Macaca fascicularis: one gene and its partners. Each later gene encodes a partner of the first gene's protein in a complex. Links are inferred from orthologs where the notes say so. Each region holds a gene or a part of one and is shown in the gene's direction. Other genes may lie near its edges. The genes, in order: POLR2L, TAF1C, UBTF, POLR1H, TAF1A, GTF2F2 and GTF2A1.

Region 1 (4,220 bases):
CCACTGGGGAAGCTGCCCAGGGCCCTGGCCAGGTTGGGAGCAGAAATCCCAAGTGTGCAGTGGATCTGGCCAGCACCACTCTGGATCCAGAAAACCCTTCATCCTCCTCCCCTGCAACTAAGGCAGACCCAGCATTGCCCTGAGAAAGCGGCAGCTGATGCCTGGAACCCAGCACAGGTCCCACCCCAGCTGGAAGCCCCAGCCCAGAGCCCCCCCATGGGTGCCACTTTGCAGCCCACCCACCCCCCCACAGCCTACCTGGCACCTCCAAGGAGTCTTCTTTGCCTCCTACTGCACACCGACCCCCCATTTCCTCACCCCCACCCTAGGGGCACAGCAAGGAGGGTGCTGGTGCCAGCCCCCCCGCACTCCATCCGAGAGACACGGGCTCCCCCTCCCTCGTCCTCCGTAGGCCCTGAGCTCCAGGGCAAGGCAGAGCTGCGGCCTTCAGCGGGTCCTGCCAGTGCAGCCTCCGGGAGTCTGCCCAGGGGTCCCCTGTGCCGCGGTCTTCAAGGTTCAATTCAAAGAGCACCTCTTCCACGACGCCCTCCCCGACCTCCCTCCCGGGCCCCCTCTCCCCGTGCTCAGAGGCGCGTCTCAGCGTCGGGACGGCCAGCAGCCCAGCAGAGCCGGGACCGGGGAGGGCGCACCCCGACCCCCTTCCTGGGAAGGAGCGGAAAGAACGCGGACAGGAGGCCGGGGCGGGGAGCAGCCGGCGGGGGCCGTAACTGCGCGGCCGAGGCCAGGACGGCGCTCCTAGGGGCTGGGCCGCGTCCAGAATGGGACCCCCGAACTCGGCGCCGAGAGCCCCGGACACCCCGCGAGTAGAGGCGGAGGCGGAGGGACCCACTACCCGGCGGGGCCAAGAGGGGCAGCAGGAAGACCCGCCCCGGTCCGCGCCCGCCCTCTCCCCAAGCCCCCGCGCCGGACCCCACTTGTTGCTGCGTGTCGGCTCTAGGCTCGAACTCGCGCGCCCCGCTCGCGTCCGGCTCCAGCCGCTCCCGGTCGGACACCTCGGGCCGCGAGACCCTGGCCGCACGCCCCCACGACCCCCCGGGCGCTCTACCTGCGCCGCCGCCTCCCGCTCGCTTCGTCCGCTCCCTCCGCGCAGCTGTCAGTCAAGCGGACACGAGAAACGCGAACCGCCACCGCGGCTTTCGGCCCTGCTCAGACGCCGTAGCTCCGGGACGCACCAAGATGGTGGGCGGGGGTGTGTCGTCTGTTGCTGCCGCGGCCGTGCAGGCCCAGGAGCCCCGGGCCGCATGGGGAATCCCCATGGCGGCGGAAATTGCGGCCAGCTGCGCCGGGGCCAGTGTATGAACGGCTGGGGCAGCGGAGAACGAGCGGAGCCGGTCCCCCCGCGATAGTGGACGCGCCCGGGGCGGGGCCTGGGGGGAGTGCTTCCCGTGCGGCCGGACCGGGCCGGGCAGTCTGGGACGCGCCGCCGCCATGATCATTCCTGTACGGTGTTTCACTTGCGGCAAGATCGTCGGCAACAAGTGGGAGGCCTACCTGGGGCTGCTGCAGGCCGAGTACACTGAGGGGTGAGGCGCGGGCTGGGGCCGGGGCTGGGGGCTGAGTCCGCCCTGGGGTGCGGGCCGGGGCGGGAGGCGCAGCGCTGCCTGGGGCCGGCGCTCCATGAGCAGCTTCATACCCGGCCACTCCGGCCCAGCTCTGTGATCTGCTTTCGGGAGAACATTGTCCCCTGAAGTCTGGGGAGAGAGCGGAGTTGGGCTTCAAACCAGTGGTGTCCTGGGGATTCTAGGTGGCCTGGCGGGTGGCAGGCGTCTTGTCACCCGCAGTAAAGCCCTTGGTCTCCGTCCTAATCTCTCGTCTCTGCTCCCAGACCCACCCCATGTCCTGCAAACCTCGCTGCAGGACAGGCGGGCGCGGCGGCTCACGCCTGTAATCCCAGAAGTTTGGGAGGCCGAGGCGAGAGGCTTGCTTGAGCCCAGGAGGTCGAGACCAGCCTGGACAACCTGGGGAGACCCTGATCTCCAGAAATTTTTTCTTTTTTTTTTTTGGGGGGGACGGAGTCTCGCTCTGTCGCCCAGGCTGGAGTGCAGCGGCGCGATCTCGGCTCAGTGCAACCTCTGCTTCCTGGGCTCCAGGAATTCTCCCCAGTCGCCGGGACTACAGGCGTGTCCACGCCCGGCTAATTTTTGTATTTTTAGTAGAGATAGGAGTTCGCCATGTTGGCCAGGCTGGTCTCGAACTCCTGACCTCAGGTGATCCACCTGCCTCGGCCTCCTGGAGTGCTGAGATGACAGGTGTGAGCCACCGCCCCTGGCCCTCTTATCTTTTTAATTCCCCGGACTTGGTGGTGCACACCTGTGGTCCCAGCTACTTGGAAGGCTGAGGCGAGAGAATCGCTTGAGGCTGGGAGGCAGGTGAAGATTTCAGTGAGCCGAGATCACGCCACTGCACTCCAGCCTGGATGAGAGAGTGAAACTCCGTGTCACGCACACACACACACACACACAGAAAAAGAAATGCAGGGCAGACTTGCTGACCACCCTCATCATCGGGCTTTGTGGGGGAGGCATCCTTCTCCTGTGCTTGTCCCTCAGTGCTGCTGTCACCACCGTGCCTGAGTCTTGGTGCCCCTGCTGGAGTCTGACCCTTGCCTGCTGAGTCCTGGTCACATGTGAAACCCCAGGCTCGTGTGTGCCAGCCTGCCATAGGCTCTCAGTGCAGCTTGCTGGACGAATGAGTAAAGCGAGTGGGCTGCCAGAGTGAGTGGCTGGTGGCCTGTCCAGACCCTTTCCCAGGGATATGAACTGCAGGGGCCTCCCATGTGGCCTCCCCTTTCCCAAGCTTCTCTCTCTGCACATTGGAGCCATCAGTGTGGGAGTTTTCTGGAAGTATTGATGGTGACTGGACCTTGGTCCCAGGGAAATTAAAGCTTCTAATTGGCTTGGGAAATGGGAGAGGTGGCTCCCTGGAGAAGCAGTCTCTCCCTGATTGAAGGAAGCAGAGGTGAGAAAAGACGCCACAGTGGCAGAGTAGGGCTTGCTCTGGGGTGGGGGATGAACCAGCTAAGGGCAGGCCCCTGGAGAGCTACCCTGCTGTGGCTGGTGCGGGATGAGGGGAGCTGCGCATCAGGACCTCGGTGGCCTTGGTTTTCTATGCTCCCCCAATTACCTCTAGTTTTCGTTTCATTTATATTTCTTACATATGTTAGACACACATATGTACAGCCAGAGTAGGTGGGAGAGAAGGCTCCTCACGCTCCACCCAGGGATCTGGGCATTGCCAGGTTACTCCAGCCAGGATCATACCGCTAGGTCTCTACTTCTCATCCAGGTGAATGTGTTCGCCTTGCCGGTAGCAGGGGAGTGAGGCCAGCAGGCAGTGAGAGGCGGCCTGGATGTGGGCTCCAGGCCTGTGCAGACCGTGGAGAACTCAGCTGGCCTCTCTGTTCCTCCCCTCGCTTGACACAGGGATGCGCTGGACGCCCTGGGCCTGAAGCGCTACTGCTGCCGCCGGATGCTGCTGGCCCACGTGGACCTGATCGAGAAGCTGCTCAATTATGCACCCCTGGAGAAGTGACCAGGCTGGAATCCGCCTACCTGCCATGCTGACCATGGGCCATGAGCATCCTGCCCCAAGTTCACAAGGCTGAGGCATCCAGGAGCTGGCGCAATGCCTCGCCACAGCGTGTGTGTGTCCCATCCCCCACTCTGGAAGGAACAATCCAGTAAAGGTCTTTCAGAACTACCAAGGTCCCAGCCCTCACTAGGATGTCAGGGGCCAGGACTAGGCCCAGCTTTCACCGCGGCAGCCCAGGGAAGCCGACTGGGCCATGAATTCTCCTAGCCCTGGGGCCAGCCTGTTCCACAGGTACCCCTGCAGGAGGTGCTGCCAGGAGAGCCTTCCATCTCAGGGCTGAGGTTCCCTCCTTCTGGGTGCTCTTCAGACTGAGCAGAGGCTCCTGTACTCTCTCTCTTGGAATCTGAAGAGCCAGATTTAGGCCAGGCACGGTGGCTCACCCCTATAATCCCAGCACTTTGGGAGGCCAAGGCGGGTGGATCACGAGGTCAGGAGATTGAGGCCATGCTGGCTAACACGGTGAAACCCCGTCTCTACTAAACATACAAAACAAAAAAAACAGCCAGGCGAGGTGCCGGGCGCCTGTAGTCCCAGCTACTCGGGAGGCTGAGGCAGGAGAACTGCTTGAACCCGGGAGGGGGAGCTTGCAGTGAGCCGAGATTGCGCCA
Region 2 (3,230 bases), on another chromosome or scaffold:
ACTCTGGGGTCAGGCTGCCTGGTTTACATCCCAGCTATTCTCTTTACCAGCTCTGTCATCTGGGGCAGGTGGTAGTGTGACAATGCCAGTCATCCCAACTTCGCAGGATTGTTGTGAGGATTGGATGAGTTGATAAAAGATGAATGCCTGCGCAGAGCCTGGCCCGGGGAAGGCACTCATCATGATACTGTCGTTGTGATTGACTTCCCTTCAGAACGGGGCACTGCATGTGACCAAGGACCTGCTGTGGGAGCCGGCGACCCCTGGGCCTCTCCCCATGCTGCCTTCCCTCATCGGTGAGAGTCTCATTCCTCCGGGCTCATTCCACACTGCTCCACCTATTCTTCCCGCAGCTCCCACTCCTGAGACCTTCCTCTCCCTGCTAAGCCTGTGCTCGCTCAGAGCCCTTGGATGCCTCCAGCCGCCCAAGGCATCTGGCTGCACTCCTGTGCCCTCCCCAGCCCTTTCCGTAACCTCCTCCTCAGATCCCTGGGACCCTGGCCTGACTGCCCGGGACCTGCTTTTCCGCGGAGGGTACCGGTATCGGAGGCGACCCCGAGTCGTGCTGGATGTTACTGAGCAGGTGAGTGGGCCCACGGGGGACAGTGCTGCGTAGCCTGGAGACTATGCTTAGTGACCTGGCCTCCTCCTCTCCCCAGATCAGCCGGTTCCTCTGGGATCATGGAGACGTAGCCTTTGCACCCCTGGGGAAGCTGATGCTGGAGAATTTCAAGCTGGAGGGAGCAGGGGTGAGTGGCCCATGACACCAGGGGTAGGGACTCCCTGCTGTCCTTCAGGGGTGAACTTGAGGGTGTGTGAGCTTGACGAGGCCTTTCCATGCAGAGCCGCACTAAGAAGACGACAGTGGTCAGTGTGAAGAAACTGCTCCAGGACCTCGGTGGACACCAGCCCTGGGGGCAAGTGGCTAATGAGAAAGGAGGAGATGGATAGACGTAGCTGGTGGTGGGGATATAGGAGGTGCTAGGACGCACATCCAGGTTTCTGTCATACCCACTTCCCACCTGCTCCATGCAGTCTGAGCTGTACTTTCTTATACCAGACTTCCAACTCCAAATCATCTCAGGGGAAAGCAGATTTAAATTTGTGGGCTTCAGGCATGGCTGCATCCAGGTGTTCAAATAATATTCGTAGAGCTGTGTCTCTCTTTACTCTGTCGTCCACTTGCCTCTTCCTGCACAGTTCCTAGACAGGCTGTCTGTAGGTAGCAGCAAGATGGCTTATGATCTAAGGAAAGAGCCAGTGTCCTTCCTGAGGCACCAGAAGTCCCAGAAAGGAGTTTGGTTGGCTTGGCTTGGGTCTCACACCCGTCTGTGAACCAGTCGCTGTGGCAAGGGCAATGGAATATTGTTGATGGCCAGGTCTGGGTCCCATGATTGCTTCCAGGGCATGGGAACAGGATGGGGTGGTTTCCCAAAGGAAGAAATTCTAGGTAAATAAGAAATGTGTCCACTGCACTTGGCCTCCTTGGGATGGGACCTGTCCTCCCCTGAGTGCCACTGAGTGATCCTCCTGCTGTTCTCTGGTCCCCAGGTGTCCCTGGGCTTACCTCAGCAACCGACAGCGCCGCTTCTCTATCCTTGGGGGCCCCATCCTGGGCACATCGGTGGCGAGCCACTTGGCAGAGCTGCTGCACGAGGAGCTGGTGCTGCGGTGGGAGCAGCTGCTTCTGGATGAGGCCTGCACTGGGGGTGCGCTGGCCTGGGTGCCTGGAAGGACACCCCAGTTCGGGCAGCTGGTCTACCCTGCTGGAGGCGCCCTGGACAGGCTGCGTATCCTTTCTTGTGAGACAGGCGATCCCAGCGGGCTCCCGTCTGGTGGAGGAGGTGCTCTTGGCATGGTCCAGGGAAGGGCAGGAATGTGGGGCTTGCAGTGGCCACAGCTCGTGCACTGATCCTTAGTGAGAGGCCCAGATTTTCAAGAGGTTGTTCTGAGCCCAGGTGACAGTCCCCAATTCCTTGGGAACCCTGGACGCATCCAGCTCCAGGGACCTGTCCGGCAGGTGGTGACATGCACTGTCCAGGGAGAAAGTAAGGCCCTTACACATGTTCCTCCCTCACTGGCTGACCTGCTGCCTGACCCCTGACCCCTGACCCTTTCCATCCCTCCTCAGCTCTGCTGGCCGTCCGCTCTGACTACCATTGTGCCGTGTGGAAGTTCGGTAAACAGTGGCAGCCAACCCTTCTGCAGGCAATGCAGGTGGAGAAGGGGGCCACAGGGATCAGCCTCAGGTGAGGGGGAGTCAGTCTGGTCAGTGAGGAGGGGCTGGGGGCAGGGGCGAGCAGCCTGATGTGAATGCGTTCCTGCCCTGTAGCCCTCACCTGCCCGGGGAGCTGGCCATCTGCAGCCGCTCAGGAGCCGTCTGCCTGTGGAGCCCTGAGGATGGGTATTGCCACTTCCCATGAAACCCCCCACCCTAACACACTGAACTCTGGCCCGTCACTCCCTGTTCAGCATGTCGCGACCCTTGATTCCCTTCCACATCAGCCTGTCCCCCCTACCCATGGCTTGCCCATCTCCCCAAGGCTGCAACAAGTCTACAAGGACCCCGAGACCCTTGTGTTCCGGGACTCCTCTTCCTGGCGTTGGGCAGACTTCACCGCCCACCCTCGGGTGCTGACTGTGGGTGACCGCACTGGAGTGAAGATGGTTGACACTCAGGTATGGGGTGGCGGCAGGAGATCTGCCCTGACTGCGGGAGCAGCCGCAGAGCAGTGAGTCCCAGGCTGGCTGCGGCCTGGGCGAGGATGGCGTCATGGGCCTGGGACTGTGGGGAGGGCTGACCCTGTGTTTCTCTTCCAGGGCCCGCCGGGCTGTGGTCTGTTGCTTTTTCGTGTGGGCGCAGAGGCTTCGTGCCAGAAAGGGGAGCGTGTCCTGCTCACCCAGTACCTGGGGCACTCCAGCTCTGAATGCCTGCCCCCTACTCTCCATCTCGTCTGTACCCAGGTGAGTGGTACACACCACCGCCCCGCCCCACCTCTGCTCTGTCTCAGATGGGCACTAGAGGCTGCTGCTTACCAGTGGCTCTGCTGGGCCCAGATAACCACCCAGCAAACCAGACTCAACCCTGGATGAATCTGTGGCCCCGGCACGCAGTGGATCCCACAGCCGGTGCTAACAGGCAGGTGGGGAAGCTCTCCCAGGGCCTCCCCTTGGTAAGGGCTTCAAGGTACAGCCAGGGGTGGAGCGGTGGGGGAGGAGCAGCCTCGGGG
Region 3 (4,102 bases), on another chromosome or scaffold:
AGGGGCCTAGAAGCTGAAATTAATCTACGAGTGGTAAATCCGCCTCTCCTATATGCCAGTGCCCCCAAAAACAAACAAACAAACAAACAAAAACAGGACACACCAGATCTTGACAGGGCTTCCTCCCTGTTTGTGAAACGTGACAGAAGTGGGATCTGGAAGTCCTGGGAAAACAATCTCATTTCTCCCAGGAGACAAGAGGAATTACAGCAGCAAAGAGGCAGGCCGAGTGGAGGAGAAGGCTGCATGCCAGGGGAGAGTCGAAAGGGGCTGGGTGATCCAGCTGGCCGAGATGCGGGAAGTAGAGCCTCGGTGTGGGAGACTGGCAGCCTGAGAGCCAGGAGCAATGGCGCTGCCCCAGAAGCGGTGGCTGGAGGCTGGGCCTGCTGGAAGCAGGCTTCCTTCAGATGGTCTTCTGGCTCCCTGCGTCCTGTCCTGATAACCTTTCCTCTGAAAAGGGGAGGCAAAGACAGACAACCACAGCCATGGTAGTGGGAGGGTGGGTGGTGGACCCCGTCCAGGCCTTTCATCCCCGGCCTGCAGTTTAGTGAACCGGGAGACGTCTCGTCGGAGGCTGCTCCGCTGCCGCCCGGAGCAGCGAGAACCGGGTGCTGGGCTCCCCTCGCGGCTGCCCGCCGCCGCCGGGGGGCAGCGCCTGCGGCCTGCTTTCCCAGGGCCGGCCGAGGCTTTTTGACAAGCTGATTGCGTGGCGGGGATTGGCTGGTCCGGGCGTGACGCCGGTAACAACAAAGGTGGAGTTGGAAGAAATTAGATTAAAGGAGAGAAAAAAAATTAAAGGGGGAGCTGGCAAAAGACAGGAGGTATAGACCGAGGGGGAGATGCGCCAAGTGGTGTCTCCCGGTTCCGACTCCCCCCGCCGCCTCGACCCCAGAAGATCCCTCGCGCAAACCCACTGGGATTTTGCTCTTTCCCCTACCCCCGCCCAGTGACCGACGCCGGGGTAGGAAGGATAGCCGCTTCTTCTTGAAAAATCCCCGCAACTCCCACCCTGACACCCCTCACTACGACCCAGGGGGAGAACTTTTTGCTCGGACTCCTCGGATCCTAAACCCAGCGAAGAGGGGGACATTGATAAGCTCGTCCTTTTAAAACCCGGAAGGCCCTCGCGGAGCATGGAGATCGGATAAGGCGGGGTGCTCCCTCGGTTTTCCGATGTGTTGCAAATCTAAGAGCTTCTTTCTCGCTTTTTTTTTTTTTCCCCTGTAACTACCCCCCCTCCCTTTTGCTTCAGGGTTGCAAAAGCAAAGAGCAATAAAAAAAAAAAAAACCGCGCACACACTCAGACACACACCAGTGGCGACAGGGGAGAGTTGGAAAGACGCAGGAGAGAAGCAGGAGGCAGGAGGCAGCGGGGATGGAGCAATGGGAGCGGGAAGCAGGCAGGTTTCCTTGCAAATCCCCCTCCGGCCTCACGCCGCCTCGCCAGCCCCGGCAGGGGAGCGAGGACCCCGGCGAACAGATGGAGGAGTGGAGCTCGCTCTAGGCAGCTGGGCTTGGCCGGAGAATGGAGGAGCCACCAAGCGACCGGCTGATTGGAAGAGAAACGCAGAGCGATGGAGGCGGGGGTAGGAGGACGATTTCTCTGCGGGGACTGGCGGCGGCGTACACGCCCGGGTCGGGCGCTGCAGAGCTTGGCTGGCTTTCAACCCGCGCTCGCCGGCTCCAGCCCCGCGCGCCCCCACCCCTAGCCCTCCCGGCGGCTCCGCAGGTGAGTGCGAGCTGCGGGCAGAAAGATCCAAAAGTCTCAACACGCCCGCCCTGCAAAAAAGGAAAAAAGAAAAAAAAGGAAGAAAACCATTTTACTTAAAAAAAAATTTTTTTTTTGTGCAACCCCTAAAGCAGTGGGAGGGAAGGGGTGAGGCTGAGCCGCCCGGAGGAGGCGGAGGGGCCAGGCGAGGCCGGGGTGGCCCGGGAGGCGGCGGCGCCGAGGCGGCTCTGACGGGCAAGCGCTCGGAGCGGCGCTGCGCTGCGCCGAGGCGGGCGGGCGGGCGGGCGGAGCGGGGCGGGCGGAGCGCGGCGCGTGGGGCTCGCCATTAGCCGTCGCTCCGCTTCGCCATCTCGGGCTTTGTCTGGCGACTCGCTGCCCCGGCGTCGGCTGCAGCGGAGCTGCGGCTCGGCTGTTCCGCCCGCCGTGCTCCCAGGTGCCCCCGGCCTGCGCTCCCATCCACACGCTCGGTAAGTGAGCCCGGGCGCCGCGGATTTCGGGGGAGAGGGGTTGCTACGAGTGGCGGCGGCACCGATCTCCATGCGCCCGGGCAGGCCTGGGAGCCATGCCGGGCTGGATTGAACCGGCTCCCACAGCGGCCCCTCCGCCGGAGCCCGTCGTTCCCTCGCCGTTTCCGGGGTGTAAAGAGCAACGGGGATTTTTTTTTAATGCAGAGATTTTCGGTTTTGGGTTTTTTTAAAGTTTCCTATGTACCGTTCGGCAATGAGAGGATCGCGAGGTAGGCGCCGAAGCTGGACGCCGCGATCGGCGTGCGTGCGCCCCAAACCAGTGGCCACGCTCCGGGGGATGAGGGTGGGCGCGGACCGCTCGCTCCGGGAGGCGGGAGAGAGCTGGCCTGGAAGCCCCAGTCTGAGCTGGGAGGACTTGGGGGAGAGCTCCGGAGCAGGGCTGTGGGCGCCCCCCAAGCCTTCCTGGCCGCCGGGGGCCCCTCCGGGCACCCTCTCCGCGGCCGCGCCTCGGCCCTCCCTCCCGCGCCGGCAAAGCCTGCTAGTTCCCCCGCGGGTCTGGCGAGGTCGCTCTCGGCGCCCGCCCGCCCGCCCGCCCCGGCTCCGAGCCCCGCCGCCATCCGGGCGGCTGCGTGTCTCCCTGCCCCGGCCCCCCCCTTCCCCGGCGGCGGCGGCGGCGGCGGCAGCAGCAGCAGCAGCAGCCGCCGCCGCCACCAGCACCACCACCACCCCCCTCCCCTCCTTCCTTCCCTCCGCCTCGGCCGCCCGGGTCCCCCCAGCTCCCGCCCCTCCTCCCAGCTGCCCCCCGCGGAGCCCGCCCGGGCAGGCTGTGGGAGGGAGCGGAGCCGGCGAGGCGGGCGGGCTGGCGCTCGCTCCCCGGGGGTCGGTGTGCGCTCTACGGGGAAGGACGCGCTCGCTGCCCCGCTTCTCCCGCCCCCCCTCCCGCTCCTCCTCCTCCCTTCTCCCTCCTCCTCCCCGCTCCGGCGGCTGAGGCTGCGGCGGCGGCGGGGGGTGTGCGAGCTGAGGCCGGGGCCGGCGGCGGGCGGGCTGCCTGCAGGCGGAGGGCGCTGTGCTTTGTGCTTTTCGCCGCGAGGAGCAGCAGGCAGCAGCCACAGCCGCCGCCGCCGCCGCCACAGCAGCAGCAGCCGCCGCCCCAGCGCCGCCGCCTCGCCCGGAGGAGGAGCCGCTGCCGCCGCGGGAGGGAGCTGCGGCTGTGCCCGGCCGAGCGGGGGAGGGCGCCGCCACTCAGAGCCGGGGAGGGAGCCGCCGGAGCGGGAAGCCCGGAGGCCGCGCTGCGCCGGGTAACCGAGGCGGCTGAGGACGCGCGCTGGGTTCGGGGCCGGACAGCAGGGAGCGAACCGCGGGTTGCGGTGGGCGCCCAGCAGGGACCCGGAGCGACCACCGAGCAGGGGACCGGGCGCGAGCAGACCAGGGCACTTGGGAGGACGCCGAGAGCCGGGGGAGGGGAAGGCAGGAAGCGAGGCCTGAGCCGAGCCACGGCCGCTGGCGGAGGAGCCCGCGCTTCTCGGATCCGGCAGGCGCAGTTCTCCCCGGCCGCCGGAGGGGGCGGCGGGGCCGGTGAGCGCTGCGCCCCCGCCTCCCGGCCGCCGTCCTCCCGCCCTCTCCTTGGCTCGGCTCCCCGGAGGCCGGGGCGGGGGCGCCGGCGGGGCTGGGCCGCAGGCTCGGGGGAGGAGGCGGCGGTTCCCGCCGCGGTCGCGCCTCTGTGCCGGGCTCCTCCGTGCGCGTCGGGGTGGCTGGGTGGTGGCGGCGCCTCTGGCCGGGGTGGGTGGCTCGGGGGCGGGGGGCAGGCTAGGCCGCTTCTCTCCGGCTGCTCGCCCGCCTGTGCGGGCGGGGACGGCGAAGGGAGCCCGGGAGGGGGGAGCGGCGGGAATCCGGATCCGGTCCCCGG
Region 4 (4,139 bases), on another chromosome or scaffold:
ATCAGCTCAACAACACATCTCCCTTTGTCAGACAGAATAACAAGCAATTTCACAGTTAAGTGATAGGGCTTGTCACTCTTCAGCAGTTTGCTGAGTTTTAACCCTTTAACTATGGTGTTCTCTCCATTATCACAGAGAAAGGCAGATGGGAGCCTCTCCCAGCGAAAAGACTACAGCTTGTGTCCTTCACAGGACAAAATAGTGATGGCTCCAGAACTTTCATATGAAGGAACTTAGCACAGCTATCAGAGTGGGTGGTGGTGGGAGGACTAGCATGAAACTAGTAAACAACGACAAGCTGCCCCTTCAGGGAAAGTTTCTACTTCGAATATAAGTTACAGAGTAACGAAAATAGCAAGATTTCCGAAAGAAACTTATTCCCATGTTTTATAAAAGATCAGGGAAATGTCAGCTGTCCACTTAATGGATGACGAATAATGAATTAAGAGTTCGATAAGCGGCAGGCACAACTAAAAGCCAAACTCGACCTAAGTCTTATGAAATCCTACTTAATGAGCTTCTTGACTACTGCTAGCCTCACTTATCTGGCAGGAGTCGAAGGAGGGGAAGCCCCAAGCTCTTCTGTTCTACCACCTCCAAAGTCCTGAGCCCCTTCTCAAGTGTCCCACTTCATCCCTGCTTCCTTTCGTCCCGTGGGACTAAGGATTCCTCTGGCCTTCACCCTCACCACTTGCTGTCCCTCAAGAAGCCGACTCACCCCTTTCCAAGCGCGGTGAACCGTCCGCAAAGCACAGGCCGGCTGCGCTCTGCAGAAAGCCCACGCTCGCCAGCGGGACCCAAGGAACGCTAGAACTATACATGCCAGAACACTTAGCTTTGTTTTTAACTACTGTGCAGCCGCAAAAGGGAAATACCAGCTCAGGACCCAGGGGAGTTGTAGTTCTCTAATCCAAAGAAGTCATTATTCAGCAAAGTACGGTTTTCAGGAGGATATTCCCCCGCGATTGGGTTCCCGTAGGATGTGAAACAGAGAATAAATATCCCAGGATTCGGTGCTGGTGGGAAAATTTGCTGGAAGCGCAGCATTGGTTACCAATTTTGTGCTCAACGTCTCAGTACCAGCCTGAAAGTTGAGCCCCAACCTCCCTTAGAAGAGGTGACTCTCCATCTCTAAGGCTTCCGAGACACGGTTCGCAATTAATTATGACGTCACAGCCAATCGTCAGCGTGAAAGCGTGACGCTCTAGCCGGCTCTAGCTCGCTGCCCCGCCGCGGGCGCAGAGCTGGCGCTCTAGCCCACGGAGTTGGCCAGCTCCTCTCGCCGGCCCCAGGAAAGGGTTCCAAGTCCTTTTAGTACCCGACGCTGTCTGGGAGTTCCGGGCGTTTCGGCTCCTTGGTCGCAGAGGCAGGAGGCGTGCGTGGGAGGAGGACTCGGGTTATATACTCCTACGTCCTGGGACGGAATAGTTACCAACTCTGGGGCAGGAACTCTTCTCTCTTTTGTTAATAAACTTCTAACTCCCTCCTCAGACCCGACTGCATGTCTGTCATGGACCTCGCCGGTACTTGCTCCAGCTTTCAGTCGGACTTGGATTTCTGTTCAGATTGCGGCTCGGTCCTGCCTCTGCCCGGGGCTCAGGATACGGTCACCTGTACTCGCTGTGGCTTCAACATCAACGTTCGGGGTGAGAGGCTTGTACACAGGGGTCCTGGCGGAGGGCCCAGGATCGGAAGCTTGGGGAACTCAAGATAGGTTGGGTTCAGAAGGGGATCCTAGAGCAGGACATCAGGCAGTTGTACATTTGGTCCAGCGATGAAAACTGAGGGAAAGGATATAGGGCCTCCTGGCCTAACCAGCCAGGGGAGAGGGGAAGTTTCCGGTGTCAGCTCCCTCAGGTTGTCTCCATAACCAGTCTTACTTGCCTGTGCAGACTTTGAGGGGAAGGTTGTGAAGACTTCAGTTGTGTTCCACCAACTGGGGACAGCCATGCCTATGTCGGTGGAGGAAGGGCCTGAGTGCCAGGGACCTGTGGTAAGTTAATGAGATCAAGAACTGGCTCCATAAGGTGGGTAGGAAAGAAATGGAGGAGTGATTGCAGAGATCTGGAGAGTTTTGTGCCCAATTCCAAGTGGGAAAAGATGTAAAGCATCGATGTTTGAGAGGCGTGATCGCCTGGTTCCTGTGGGAAGTAAGGGTATGATATGACCAGGCCTCCATAACCCACCAGTTTCTTCCCAGGTTGACAGGCGCTGCCCTCGATGTGGTCATGAAGGAATGGCATACCACACCAGACAGATGCGTTCAGCCGATGAAGGGCAAACTGTCTTCTACACCTGTACCAACTGCAAGTGGGTATCCTTTCCCCTCCCTTTGCTCAGTCTGTTTGCTAACTAATAAACAAATCCAGTGATTTATTTTTTTGTACTAAACGGCTGTGTCCTTTCGTCCCATCCCTTATTTCTGTGCAGTTCTGGTAAGAGGGAGATTTGTAGTTTTTATTTTTTTAAATTACACTTTTTTAACCCTTTTTGTAACCAGTGAAATAAACCTTTTAGGTTTTTGTTTTGTTTTTTTTTTTTTTTTTTAAATGGACAGGGTGTTGCTCTGTCACCTAGCCTGGAGTGCAGTGAGGCAATCTTGGCTCACTGCAACCTCCGCCTCCTGGGCTCAGGTAATCCTCCCACCTCAGCCTCCAAAATAGCTTTGGGACCACAGGCACGTGCCACCACACCTGGCTTTTTGTTTTGTTTTGTTTTTTGTATTTTTAGTAGAGATAGGGTTTCTCTCTGTTTCCCAGGCTGGTCTTGAACTCCTGAGCTCAATCAACCCACCTCAGCATCCCAAAGTGCTGGGGATTACAGGCATGAGCCACCCTGCCTGACCTTCTTTTAGGATATTTAAAAGGAAATGAAGAAAAAAAACCATAAGAAGCAAGTATTGTTTAGTGGTCAGCGTCTTATACTGCAGTCTTCAACCGCAGTCAAGGTAGCTTTACTTTGGAGAGAATTAGTCACACATGATTTAGAGAACATGGGCTTTCTGAATGCTTTTAAGACCTCATCTTTGTCTTTGGTGTTCTGCAGTCACTATAGTATATCAAAATGTGATTTTCTTTTATTCTGTTTGGGATTTGTTGGACTTTCTGAAACTGAGAGTGCATTGTTGTTTTTTGTTTTGTTTTGTTTTTTTGAGACGGAGTCTCGCTCTGTCTCCCAGGCTGGAGTCCAGTGGTGTGTTCTCGGCTCACTGCAAGCTCCGCCTCCCGGGTTCACGCCATTCTCCTGCCTCAGCCTCCTGAATAGCTGGGACTACAGGTGCCCCCCACCACGCCCGGCTAATTTTTTGTGTTTTTTAGTAGAGACGAGATTTCACTGTGTTAGCCAGGATGATCTCGATCTCCTGACCTCGTGATCCACCCGCCTCGGCCTCCCCAAGTGCTGGGATTACAGGCGTGAGCCACTACGCCCAGCCTAGAGTGGATTTTTTTTTCATCAACCTTGGAAAATTATCAGCCATCATCTCTTTTAATATTCTCTTTCCCCCATGTTCTCAGTCCTCACATTCTGGACCTCTAATTAGTTACTAGAATGAGATTTCTCTCTTCTGTCCTCCATTTCTCTCGCCCTCTTTTCATATTTTCAATCGCTTTTCTCTTTATGCCACCTTCTGAGTAATTTCTTCAGGTTCCTCTTCCATGTCACTAGTTCTGTCTTCAGTTTATTTCAAATATTATTATTTTTTACTATTGTTATTATTTTGAGTTCTATTTAATTACTTTTCAAATCTCAATTTTTAAATAATTCTCAGTTCCTTAATCATATTTTAAATTGTTCCTTTTACTAGTCTTTAAATATATAAAATATTAAATATAGTTATTATATTCTATGTCTCATAATTCTGATATCCATGGATTTTGTGTGTCTGATGCTGCTGTCTGTTTCTGCTGTCTCTCTCATAGTGCTTTTTTCTTTGTTTTGTAATTTTTGACAATAAATTTGAGTTTTTTAGAACTTGAACTGTAGGAATTCTTTGAGGCCTTGGGTAAGTGCTGTATTCTCAGCATTTGTGTTTCTTTTCTAGGTGCCTTGAAGCACTATCAAGCTGGAATTACTTTAAATAAATTCTTGGCTTCATGTTTTTTGGAGCACACAGATAGTATGAATTTGAGCTGCAAATC
Region 5 (3,500 bases), on another chromosome or scaffold:
GGCCTTTGATTTATTTTGAGTTAATTTTTATGAAGTGGGTAGGGGCCCAACTTCATTATTTTGTATGTGGATATCCAGTTGTTGTAGCATTTATTGAAAAGTCTATTATTTTCCCACTGAATTGTCTTGGCACCCTTATTGAAAATTAGTTAGCAGCTGGGAGTAGTGGCCATGCCTGTAATCCTAGCACTTTGGGAGGCCAAGACAGGTAGATTGCATGAGCCCTCAGGAGTTTGAAACCAGCCTGGGCAACATGGTGAAACTGCATTTCTACAAAAAATACAAAAATAGCTGAGTGTGGTGGCATGTGCCTGTAGTCCTGGCTACTTGGGTGACTGAGGTGAGAGGTTTACTTGAGCCCAGGAGGTAGCGTGAGACTGCAGTGAGCTGAAATCATGCCACTGCAGTCCAGCCTGGGAGACAGTGAGGCCCTGTCTTAAACATACACAAAAGAAAATTAGTTACCTATAAATGTGGAGGTTTATTTCTGGACTCTGAATCTTCCATTCATCTACATATGTCTCTCCTTGTACCCATATCATACAGTCGTGATTACTACAGCTTCTTAGTAAATTTTTTTTTTTTTTTCTGAGACCAAGTCTTATTATGTCGCCCACGCTGGAGTGCAGTGGCATGATCTCAGCTCACTGCAATCTGTGTCTTCCAGGTTCAAGCGATTCTTGTGCCTCAGCCTCCCAAGTAGATGGGACTACAGGCGTGCGCCACCATGCCCAGCTAATTTTTTTGTATTTTTAGTAGAGACAGGGTTTCACCATGTTGGTCAGGCTGGTCTCGAACTCCTGACCTCAGGTGATCCACCCACATCGGCCTCCCAAAGTGCTGGGATTATAGCCATGAGCCACCATGTCTGGCCGTAATCATAGAGTACATTCCCCAACTCTGTCTTTTTTGTTCTTCTTTGGTTCCTTGCATTTTCATATGAATTATAGAATCAGCCTCTCAACTTATGCAAAAAGGCCAACTGAGTTTTTGGTAAGAATTACATGTATCTGTAGATCAATTTGACAATAGTAAGTCTTTCAACTGAACATAGAGTGTCGTTTCATTCATTTAGGTCTTTAAAAATTTTTTTCAACAGTATCACTTTTCAGAGTAAAATTTTGCATCTCTTTTGTAAAATTTATACCCATTTTGTTACTTTTGATGCTTTTGCAAATGGCATTGTTTTCCTAATTTTATCTTCTGATTGTTCATTGGAAGTGTATAGACACAGTTGATTATTGTGTATCGATCTTGTACTCTGCAACCTTTGTGAACTCATTTATTAGTTCAGTAAATTTTTAGTGGATTCTTAGGATTTTTCTATGTACAAGATCATGTCATCTACAAATAGAGATAGTTTTACTTCTTCCTTTCCAATCTTGGATATCTTTTTGTTATGTTCTTACTTAATTGTCCTGGCTAGAACCACCAATATAATGAACAAAAGTAGTGAGAAAAGACTTATTGTCTTATTCCTGATTTTAGGGGGAAAGCATGCAATCTTTTATCATTCAGTTCAGTGTTAGCTATGAGTTTTTCATAGATGCCCTTTATCAGATTGAGGAAGTTCCTTCTATTCCTACATTGTTGAGTGTTTTTGTCATGAAGGGTTATTGTGTTTTTTCAGATGCTTTGTCTGCATCTATTGTGATTATCTTGTGGTTTTGGTCCTGTATTCTTTTGATTTGGTTTAGATCAATAGATCTCTATTTTATTATTTGCATTAATTGATTTTCAGATGTTAAGCCAACCTTGCATTCCTAGTATAGATCCCACTTGGACATGATGTATAATGCTTTTTATATGTTGCTGGACTCAGTTTGCTAATATTTTGTTAAATATTTTTGCAGCTATATTCATAAGAGACACTGATCTGTAGTTTTATTGTGTTGTCTTTGTTTGGTTTTGGTATCATGGTAATACTGGCTTAGAATAAGTTAGGAAGTATTCTCTTCTGTCCTTTTTTGGGAGAATTTGTGAAGAATTAGTATTTTCCTTTAAATATTTGTTGAAATTTACCGTTGTAGCTATCAGGAGCTGAGTTTTTCTCGCGGGTAGCTTTTTAAATTACTACTTTAATAGAAGTCCTCAATATTTAATGAATGTTAAAAAACCTTTTATCTTTGGGCAGATAAGGATGATTATGCTTACAACGCAGTAGCCCAGGATGTGTTCAACCACAGCTGGAAGACATCTGCAAATATTTCTGCATTGATTAAAATTCCTGGAGTTTGGGACCCTTTTGTGAAGAGTTATGTAGAAGTAAGTAGAATTTTCATAAAATGTATTGGTTTTATTTTGTCAAAAGCCTTTACAAAGACTCCATGCCTAATCTTTATTGATCAGAAAGAAACTAATGGAAAAAATTATTTAAAAGGAAACAAAAATATTATGTCTCGTTTTTGGTCTGAATTTGTTTATTTTCACCACTGTATAACCCATCATGGCCAAGTATCTATAAAATAAATAGCAGTATAGTTGTAAATGTTAATTCAATCTTATTCTTGTTGAGTTTAAAAGAAACACAGTAAGATATTTTATGATTTGGTGGGATATAGAAGGAAACAGGACAAAAATCTGAAAAAGTGGGTCATAATATATGAGATAAAGAATGATGACTTTTTGGAAGTTCGTAAGAATGTCCTGTCATCCCAGAGTCGTCGTAAAAGGACTGAGGGCCTTGGTGCTAGGCACTAGGAATAATAAATAATTTGCTTTGTGAAAGTTATTGAGTGGCGAATTGATAATTGTGTTGTCAGAAGATAATCTCCAAAATCATAACCTGGAAATTCCTGTGTAAGGATGGGAACAGAATGAAAGCAACTACAATTCTTGTGCACTCCTTTTGTGGCTGCAGTGATGTAGGGCACTGAGGTTAGTTGCATCACATTTTCAAGCATTAGTGTTCCCTGCTTTGAGGACTCTTATTTTTTATAGGAAGAGAATTTATGTTGAGGTGGCTGCATTTTTTATTAGTGGTAACAAAATATAGGGAAAAAATGGGAACCCTGTCAGTTTTGTGATTTTTAAAAAATACCCATCAGTAAACTTATGCTGTGTATTATCTTTCGTACAGCTGTCTTACAGAATTCAGCTAAGGTATTATGATTTATTTTATATAGATGCTGGAATTCTATGGGGATCGAGATGGAGCCCAAGAGGTACTCACTAATTATGCATATGATGAAAAGTTTCCATCAAATCCAAATGCCCATATCTACTTATACAACTTTCTAAAGAGACAGAAGGCACCAAGATCAAAAATGATAAGTGTGCTTAAGGTATAGAATTTTTATCTCAATGTTTGAACAGGGTTGGGAATCTACATTAAAACATTCTTAGGCCATTGCTTTCTAACTTTTATAGCATCCACAGAAAATGACAATAATGTACAGTACACTGAGATAAACAGAAAGTTCGCTCCAGCTGCCATCTCCATGTATGTATCATTCACACTATCCCCTGCTGCCTGGGTGAGACTGAGGAGAGAGGATCAG
Region 6 (3,500 bases), on another chromosome or scaffold:
ATGGTAGATTAGCCCCATTGTTCTTTTTGTTTTTGTTTTTTATTTTCTTACTAGTTGTAGTAATTTTTATTTTATTTCGGGGGTACATGTGTAGGTTTGTTACATAGGTATATTGCATGATGCTGAGATTTGGGCTGATATTTATCCTGTCACCCAGATAGTGAACATGGTAACCAATAGGTAGTTTTTTAACTCTTGGTCTCTTCTCTCTTTTTGGAGTCCCTAATGTCTATTGTTCCCATCTTTAGGTCCATGTCTACCCAATGTTTAGCTCCCACTTGTAAGTGAGAACATGTGGTATTTGGCTTTCTGTTTCTGCACTAATTCACATAGGATAATGGCTTCCAGCTGCATCATTGCTGCAAAGGATGTGATTTTGTTATTTTTTTATTAGCCCCATTATTCTGACAAACGGGAATAGATTGTCTTTCTCTCTTTTGATTTTTTTAAGAGACAGGGTTTTGCTGTGTTGCCAAGGTTGGAGTGCAATGGCTTTTCATAGTGAACTACAGCCTGGAACTCCTGGCCCAAGGAATCTTCTTACCTCAGCCTCCCAAGTAGCGGGGATTATAGGTGTGCACCAGTGTGTCCAGTTTACATTCTCTTTTTGTGAGCAAGTATTAAGGAGTTTTTAATAAAGTTAAAGTGTTTAATGAAATGACTGGAAAACACATTTAAAAACAATTTGATTTATAACTAAAATTTTTTTATATGTAGTTTGAATACAAAAGTCTGTTATAATCTCTGGTTAATGTGTCTATTAGGTGTCATTTACTTTGAATGAGGACCTTGCAAATATTCATGATATTGGTGGAAAACCGGCTTCAGTCAGTGCTCCTAGAGAACACCCATTTGTCTTGCAAAGTGTTGGAGGACAGACATTAACAGTGTTTACTGAGAGCTCATCAGGTAAGTGGGAATGGAATTATTTAATGTGATTCCTGTACTTGTTGTATAGATTTTCTGTCTCAACATACACTCCTGTTTGCTTTTTTTTTTTTTTTTTGCGATGGCGTTTCGCTCTCGTTGCCCAGGCTGGAGTGCAGTGGCACAATCTCAGCTCACTGCAACCTCCACCTCCCAGGTTCAAGCGATTCTCCTGCCTCGGCCCCCCGAGTAGCTGGGATTGCAGGCATGCACCACCATGCCCGACTAATTTTGTATTTTTGGTAGAGACGAGGTTTCTCCATGTTGGTCAGGCTGGTCTCAAACTCCTGACCTCAGGTGATCCGCCTGCCTCTGCCTCCCAAAGTGCTGGGATTACAGGCGTGGGCCACCGCACCCGGCCTCCTGTTTGCTTTTTTAAGGTCATTACCAAGACTGTTCCACCTCTCATTTTGTGTACCTCTGTTATTCATACTATGCTACTTCTCTGCTCTGTGTACTTTCTTGTGATTAATGAAATTTTGGCCATTACTTGAGAAGGGTTTAATTTCTATTTGGGATATGAAGATATAGAACAAAGCAGATGGAAGAATGTGGTTCATCAAGCTGCCTTCTCAGATGTTGAAGAAACAGTATTCTGAATTTTGCCAAGATAAGGTCATCGTTGCTTGTTTTAGTAAATTGATATTTAGCAAGTATAAGTTGTACTTTAAAAATACAGCTCGATATTAGGGAATATTTTAGTCTGAATTTTTCATCTTGTATGCTTTGTATACCAAGGGGACCTTTTTATTGCACAGAGATAACTTTTAATTGATATTGGCTTCTAAGAAGTTTCTGTGTAGAGTTTTAAGATTGTATGTGTTTGCAATGAGATATTTTAACAGTTCAATAAATCAGAAGCAAATGTTTCCATTTGTGAATTAAATACAGAAGGAACTTTCTTGTGGCACACACTCAGCATGAGTATATTTTCCATGTTTTGGGATTTTTATCTTTCACTGAGTTTAGAATACTATTAAAGCAACAGGCCACCTTAGTTTAATGGAGCTAATTTTCTGCTATCTGGTTCAAAAAGCTTATTGATAAAAGAAAACATTTGTGATTTTGTTGTATTTCATCAAACATTTCAAAGGAAGCTGTAAGAAATTATAGTATGTTAAGAACACCATTGGTTAAAAAAAGGTACATCCTCATAAATTTTTTTGTGGTGTCTTCGATTACCAATAGCTACATAAAATGATCTAAAAATTATTCTTTTTTTCTTGGATGTACAGTATAACAAAATGGTAAATTATAATTCTTCAGTTATGTAGTTGAAGGTAGAAGATTGGTTTCACTGCAGTTTTCTGATGCTCTAATAATTAATAGTTTAGTAGTATGGGAGGCAGAAAAGTAACAGTTTCTTCAATACATCCATTTTATACTGGAGAAGATTCAACCTTTCAACAAATATTTATTGCATGCTGCATAGTTCAGGGCATAGTATAGACCTATCAAAAAATCTGAAATTTGTCTGAAATTAAAAGCGCATTTGAATTCAGTATGTTAAAGAGTTTTAGTTTTGGCGGGGCGCGGTGGCTCGTGCCTGTAATCCCAGCACTTCAGGAGGCCGAAGTGGGCAGATCACCTAAGGCCGGGAGTCCGAGACCAGCTGGGCCAACATGGTGAAACCCTGTCTCTATTAAATAAAAAATTGGCCAGGCGTGGTGGCGGGTGCCTGTAATCCCAGCTACTCAGGAAGCTGAGGCAGGAGAATCGCTTGAACCCAGGAGGTGGAAGTAGAAGTGAGCCGAGATTGCACCACCGTACTCCAACCTGGGTGATGGAGGGAGACTCAATCTCAAAAAAAAAAAAAAAGAGTTAAGGAGTTTTAGTTTCAACAACTCTATTCCTTTTGATTGATGAGATTTAATAAGATCCATTGAACCTGTGAGGTTTTCTCTACTTTTGTGATTGTCCTAGAGTGGAAGAGGCATGGCACCAAGATAGTAAAAAGGAGACATCGCCTTGATAAAAGTTTGAGGTAGGGAAACTTGAACTTTTTTTTGTAGAAAAAAGTACCCTATTACAGATTTTTTACATCTTATTAAGTGACTAATTTTTTGAAAACATGATTTATTTCTGGTGCTTCTACAAAGACAGTGATTTAGAAAGCTAACATTTGTTAGCCTCAAAATTAGTCTTCCATTTTACATTTTAAAAATACTTTAGTGTTGTGCTCTTTTTGAACATTTCATGTTCACATTTCTGGCTACAGTGTACTCTGAAGGGAACGTGGTTTTATGAGGATTATCTTGGCAGGGATATGGAAAAGAATTAAGATTGTCATCCTTATTCTGGGGCTTGGACGGTATGTTCTTGCTTTGCACAACTGTGATAATACAAATGCAGTTCTAAGTTGCTATTAGTTATAATACACTGTAACAATATTTTACTTCTTAACCTCATTATTTCTGTTTCAAGTCATTGTTCCTTGATTCTCTTTGCACCTTTCTGTGCCTTAATTTTCTCATTTATGAAATGAGGATAATTTGTTGACATATAAAAATATGAATACATTTAAACACTTAGAACAATGCTCAGTATATAATGGATGCTCAAATATTAGCTGC
Region 7 (3,500 bases), on another chromosome or scaffold:
AGATGAACAAACTTCAAGAGGAGGATTTGGCAAAATAAAGCAGGTTAGTGAGTGAAACAGTAAAGCAAGAACCCGGATATTTGAATTGGTTTTCTTGTAATGAGAAGGACTAAATAGTTTTTAATGGTTGAGGTAAATTGTACTGACAAACTCATTTGTATTTTGTTTGTTTTCTGAGACAGGGTCTGGGCCTGTCACCCAGGCTGGAGGGCAGTGCTACAATCTTGGCTCACTGCATCCTTTCCCTTCTGGGCTCAAGCCATCCTCCCACCTCAGCCTCCCAAGTAGCGGGGACTACGGGCACGTGCCACTATTCCTGGCTAATTTTTTGTATAGCCTGAATTTCACTATGTAACCCAGACTGGTCTTGAACTCCTGAGCTCAAGCGATCCTCCCAAAATGCTGGGATTACAGGTCATTGCATCTGGCCTCATTATTTGTAGTTTTCACAAGACAAGGACACATTTTCTTAGCAGTTCCCCTGTGTCACAGTGTTGCTGATAAGAGATGGTAGTGAAACACATATTTCTGTTTGAAGTTTGCTCATGAGAACAAACACTTAGTTTTTTTTGATAGCCATTTAACTTTAAGCAAGGTGTGAAACACAAGTAATGAGAAGACATCTAAAAAGCTTGTTAACCATAACTCTCTGATAATGGGTAGGATTTATAACCTGGCAACTCTAGTTTTGTCAAGGCAGCTCTAGTTTTGTCATCTGACATGACTTCCTTTTGTCTTACAGGTTAAAAATAGGATATGGATTGAGCTAATTGTTCTATCTCCCACCTTGTAGTTTTTAAATAATTTTTATTTTTTGAAAGTTCTTTCACATCTATTCTCATTTTGCCCATTTTACCATTCAACCTTCTAGAAGCCAGCTCCTTTACTTCCCGCTCCTCCTCCAAGTAATACCAACAGTGCTAATTATAATAATAATAATAAACGTTTAGAGGGTTTATGTTCATTATAATGTTTCATAGCATTATCTGGGCAGTAGTAGAGGAGAAATTCTGGGAAGGAAATCAGTGTACCTTGTTTCTTTGGGACCTTGAGACCTGTCATTGTGGGTGTGTGAGTAGTTTAATGGTGTAGCTTGAAAGTACAGACTGGGTCACACAACAGAAGTTAGGTGATTTTTAAACCTGAATGTTCATTAGATTGTAGATTATTACCAGGCAGATGACTCCCGGACGTAAGATTCTCCAAAGTCTTAAGATTTAGTGGTGAGGTAGTAAAACATACAACAGAGTTCAAACCAAGCATGGAATAGTAGAAGCCAGACGTAAGCAACCCCTGAAGCTGTTATTGAACATTACATTAGGTATTTTGACTATAACATAGGAAATTATAATTGAAAATTGTATGGACCTTGTAGGCATAGGGACCTTCTGTTTATGAATTGCATTAATCTTAAAATTTTTATTAAAGTATGCAGTCATCAAATCCAGTTTATGGCAAATGATGGTGGTCGTATCTTTAAATTCATATGTAGTTAGTTGGCAAAATGACTATTATATTGGTTTTGAATTATACATTGTAACCTGTGAAAAACTGTCTTTATCAAGTCTGTTATTTTTCCTTTAAAGCCTAAATTATACCGATCTGTGATTGAAGATGTCATTAATGACGTGAGAGACATCTTTCTGGACGATGGCGTGGATGAACAAGTACTGATGGAACTGAAAACCGTACGTTTGTCTTCTTAAAAATATTCCTACCTTTTCACCCCAAATCATTTTCTTTAGTCAGAGATGAATCTGTAATTTTTCTGTAGGGTGAACGTATAGTTTAGTGAAGTGTGCTGGTTTTAAATCCCAACTGTACCATGCATTCTTCCTCTGACCTTAGGCAGGCTACATTTATATTTCAGTTTCTTTACATGTAAGATGGAAATTGGTAGTATTTACCTTATAGGTTTGTTTTGAGGATTAAATGGGATAACCATATAAAATCTTAGCACAATGCCTGATAGTAGCATTAGCAGTTATTATTGGATAGTTAACATTCTACATTTTAGGGTCTAATTACTTGACATGCCTGGAAGAGTTTTCTTTCTTTTTTCTTTTTTTTTTTTTTTTTTTTTGAGACAGGGTTGGGCTCTGTCGCCCAGCTGGAGTGCAGTGGCACAATCTGGACTTACTGCAACCTCCGCCTCCCAGGCTCAAACCATCCTCCCACCTCTGGGACTACAGGCACATGCCAGCATGCCTGGCTAATTTTTGTATTTTTGGTAGGGATGGTTTTCACCATGTTGTCAAGGCTGCTTTCGAACTCCTGGCTGCAAGTGATCCTCCCGCCTCGGCCTCCCAAAGTGCTAGGATTATGGACGTGAGACACAGTGCCCAGCTTTAATCTTGCCTTTTTTTAATGGTCTTAATGTGCCTGTATTCTAAGTGTGTTTTAAGTTGTAGGGAGTAAGTGCTTGATAAAAGAATTTTAGGTTCTTGAAGTAGACCCTTTATGTAGGCCAAATGTTTTAAATATATTTTACATTAAGAGCTGGTTTTCTGTATCTTGGATTTAAGCAGAAATATTTAGTTTTTTTATTGGCAGTTGTGTTTTCCTTGCAGTGTAATGACTCATGAAATTGTGGACTATTTTTGCCCTGTTGGTTAGAATAGTGGTTCTCAAGGTATATAGTTCATGGAGTCCTGGGTTCTCCCCAAGGGTTCTTTCCAGGGGTCCACAAGGTTGACTAAATGCTCAAGTCTGGAAAATCATAGTTTGCCTTCATTCTTTCAAGTAAAAGTTGTATTCTGTGAGAAAAGTGGCCAGTTAAATTCATAACTCAAGCGCACAGATGCTTTTCCTTGAGATAACTGTAAATAAGCAGCAGAAATGCTGTATGCATACTTCTCATTTCTGAATATTAAAAAGATGTGGACTCAGTGTTGATACTAAGAAATTTGATTGTTTGATATTCTGTAATGAAGTGTGTTTACATTCGAAAGATCCATATAATTCATTGAACTTGTATTTTCTGAATGTCCAATGCATAATGTTGGAAAATTCATTCAAAATGCAAGATAAATTAATGAACTTTAACAGTATGAAAAGTTCATAGTTATATGGTTTCATATTCTGCATTGTAACTAACTTGTAAGAAACTATCACTTAAAAGTACCTTTTCTTTTCCTAACTACTTAACTGTAGGAAGGCAGATTTTCTTTGTATACCTCAACCAAAACAAAGCGAAAACACAGGCAGATATGAAAATCTAGCTATTTTCCTTTAAGTCATTTGTCATTCTCACTCAATTTTATTTACTAAAATATGACTATTTTCAGAAAACTGTTATTTATGTTAACATATAATGGATCCATTATTTCTAAACAAATTAGTAAGCATTAAACATTTGTTACAATTTCTGTTACTATAAATATAGGGGGGTGTAATTCACATACAGAGAAGCTCTTTGAGGGTCTCAGTAATTTTTTAAAGTGATAAAGCATCCTGAGGTGAAAGAGTTTTAGAACTGCTGGTTTAGAAGTTGAGTATTA

Evidence for each region.
Region 2: POLR2L (region 1) and TAF1C share a complex: the UniProt entries of both Homo sapiens proteins name them as parts of the pol I pre-initiation complex. The link is inferred for Macaca fascicularis from reciprocal best matches to the Homo sapiens genes POLR2L and TAF1C.
Region 3: POLR2L (region 1) and UBTF share a complex: the UniProt entries of both Homo sapiens proteins name them as parts of the pol I pre-initiation complex. The link is inferred for Macaca fascicularis from reciprocal best matches to the Homo sapiens genes POLR2L and UBTF.
Region 4: POLR2L (region 1) and POLR1H share a complex: the UniProt entries of both Homo sapiens proteins name them as parts of the pol I pre-initiation complex. The link is inferred for Macaca fascicularis from reciprocal best matches to the Homo sapiens genes POLR2L and POLR1H.
Region 5: POLR2L (region 1) and TAF1A share a complex: the UniProt entries of both Homo sapiens proteins name them as parts of the pol I pre-initiation complex. The link is inferred for Macaca fascicularis from reciprocal best matches to the Homo sapiens genes POLR2L and TAF1A.
Region 6: POLR2L (region 1) and GTF2F2 share a complex: the UniProt entries of both Homo sapiens proteins name them as parts of the TBP-based Pol II pre-initiation complex. The link is inferred for Macaca fascicularis from reciprocal best matches to the Homo sapiens genes POLR2L and GTF2F2.
Region 7: POLR2L (region 1) and GTF2A1 share a complex: the UniProt entries of both Homo sapiens proteins name them as parts of the TBP-based Pol II pre-initiation complex. The link is inferred for Macaca fascicularis from reciprocal best matches to the Homo sapiens genes POLR2L and GTF2A1.

What each region holds. Positions count from the first base shown.
Region 1 is NC_088388.1:742,499-746,718, reverse strand, and holds POLR2L (DNA-directed RNA polymerases I, II, and III subunit RPABC5), read left to right. Parts: upstream 1-1,428; 5' UTR 1,429-1,449; coding exon 1,450-1,544; intron 1,545-3,443; coding exon 3,444-3,552; 3' UTR 3,553-3,720; downstream 3,721-4,220. UniProt on the Homo sapiens protein: DNA-dependent RNA polymerase catalyzes the transcription of DNA into RNA using the four ribonucleoside triphosphates as substrates.
Region 2 is NC_088394.1:80,059,321-80,062,550, reverse strand, and holds part of TAF1C (TATA box-binding protein-associated factor RNA polymerase I subunit C), read left to right. Parts: intron 1-214; coding exon 215-296; intron 297-485; coding exon 486-583; intron 584-659; coding exon 660-749; intron 750-843; coding exon 844-917; intron 918-1,551; coding exon 1,552-1,790; intron 1,791-1,931; coding exon 1,932-2,048; intron 2,049-2,131; coding exon 2,132-2,249; intron 2,250-2,332; coding exon 2,333-2,404; intron 2,405-2,543; coding exon 2,544-2,679; intron 2,680-2,820; coding exon 2,821-2,964; exon of another isoform or gene 2,965-3,057; coding exon of another isoform or gene 3,058-3,143; intron 3,144-3,230. UniProt on the Homo sapiens protein: Component of the transcription factor SL1/TIF-IB complex, which is involved in the assembly of the PIC (pre-initiation complex) during RNA polymerase I-dependent transcription.
Region 3 is NC_088390.1:65,276,762-65,280,863, reverse strand, and holds the start of UBTF (nucleolar transcription factor 1), read left to right. Parts: upstream 1-1,302; 5' UTR 1,303-1,729; intron 1,730-2,081; exon of another isoform or gene 2,082-2,196; intron 2,197-3,017; exon of another isoform or gene 3,018-3,075; intron 3,076-3,440; exon of another isoform or gene 3,441-3,771; intron 3,772-3,834; exon of another isoform or gene 3,835-3,975; intron 3,976-4,102. UniProt on the Homo sapiens protein: Recognizes the ribosomal RNA gene promoter and activates transcription mediated by RNA polymerase I (Pol I) through cooperative interactions with the transcription factor SL1/TIF-IB complex.
Region 4 is NC_088378.1:142,602,755-142,606,893, reverse strand, and holds the start of POLR1H (DNA-directed RNA polymerase I subunit RPA12), read left to right. Parts: upstream 1-1,339; 5' UTR 1,340-1,366; exon of another isoform or gene 1,367-1,375; intron 1,376-1,491; 5' UTR 1,492-1,501; coding exon 1,502-1,646; intron 1,647-1,892; coding exon 1,893-1,993; intron 1,994-2,200; coding exon 2,201-2,310; intron 2,311-4,139. UniProt on the Homo sapiens protein: Core component of RNA polymerase I (Pol I), a DNA-dependent RNA polymerase which synthesizes ribosomal RNA precursors using the four ribonucleoside triphosphates as substrates. Can mediate Pol I proofreading of the nascent RNA transcript.
Region 5 is NC_088375.1:80,560,663-80,564,162, reverse strand, and holds part of TAF1A (TATA box-binding protein-associated factor RNA polymerase I subunit A), read left to right. Parts: intron 1-2,134; coding exon 2,135-2,265; intron 2,266-3,125; coding exon 3,126-3,284; intron 3,285-3,500. UniProt on the Homo sapiens protein: Component of the transcription factor SL1/TIF-IB complex, which is involved in the assembly of the PIC (pre-initiation complex) during RNA polymerase I-dependent transcription.
Region 6 is NC_088391.1:24,397,115-24,400,614, forward strand, and holds part of GTF2F2 (general transcription factor IIF subunit 2), read left to right. Parts: intron 1-764; coding exon 765-909; intron 910-3,500. UniProt on the Homo sapiens protein: TFIIF is a general transcription initiation factor that binds to RNA polymerase II and helps to recruit it to the initiation complex in collaboration with TFIIB.
Region 7 is NC_088381.1:149,184,862-149,188,361, reverse strand, and holds part of GTF2A1 (transcription initiation factor IIA subunit 1), read left to right. Parts: intron 1-1,586; coding exon 1,587-1,688; intron 1,689-3,500. UniProt on the Homo sapiens protein: TFIIA is a component of the transcription machinery of RNA polymerase II and plays an important role in transcriptional activation. TFIIA in a complex with TBP mediates transcriptional activity.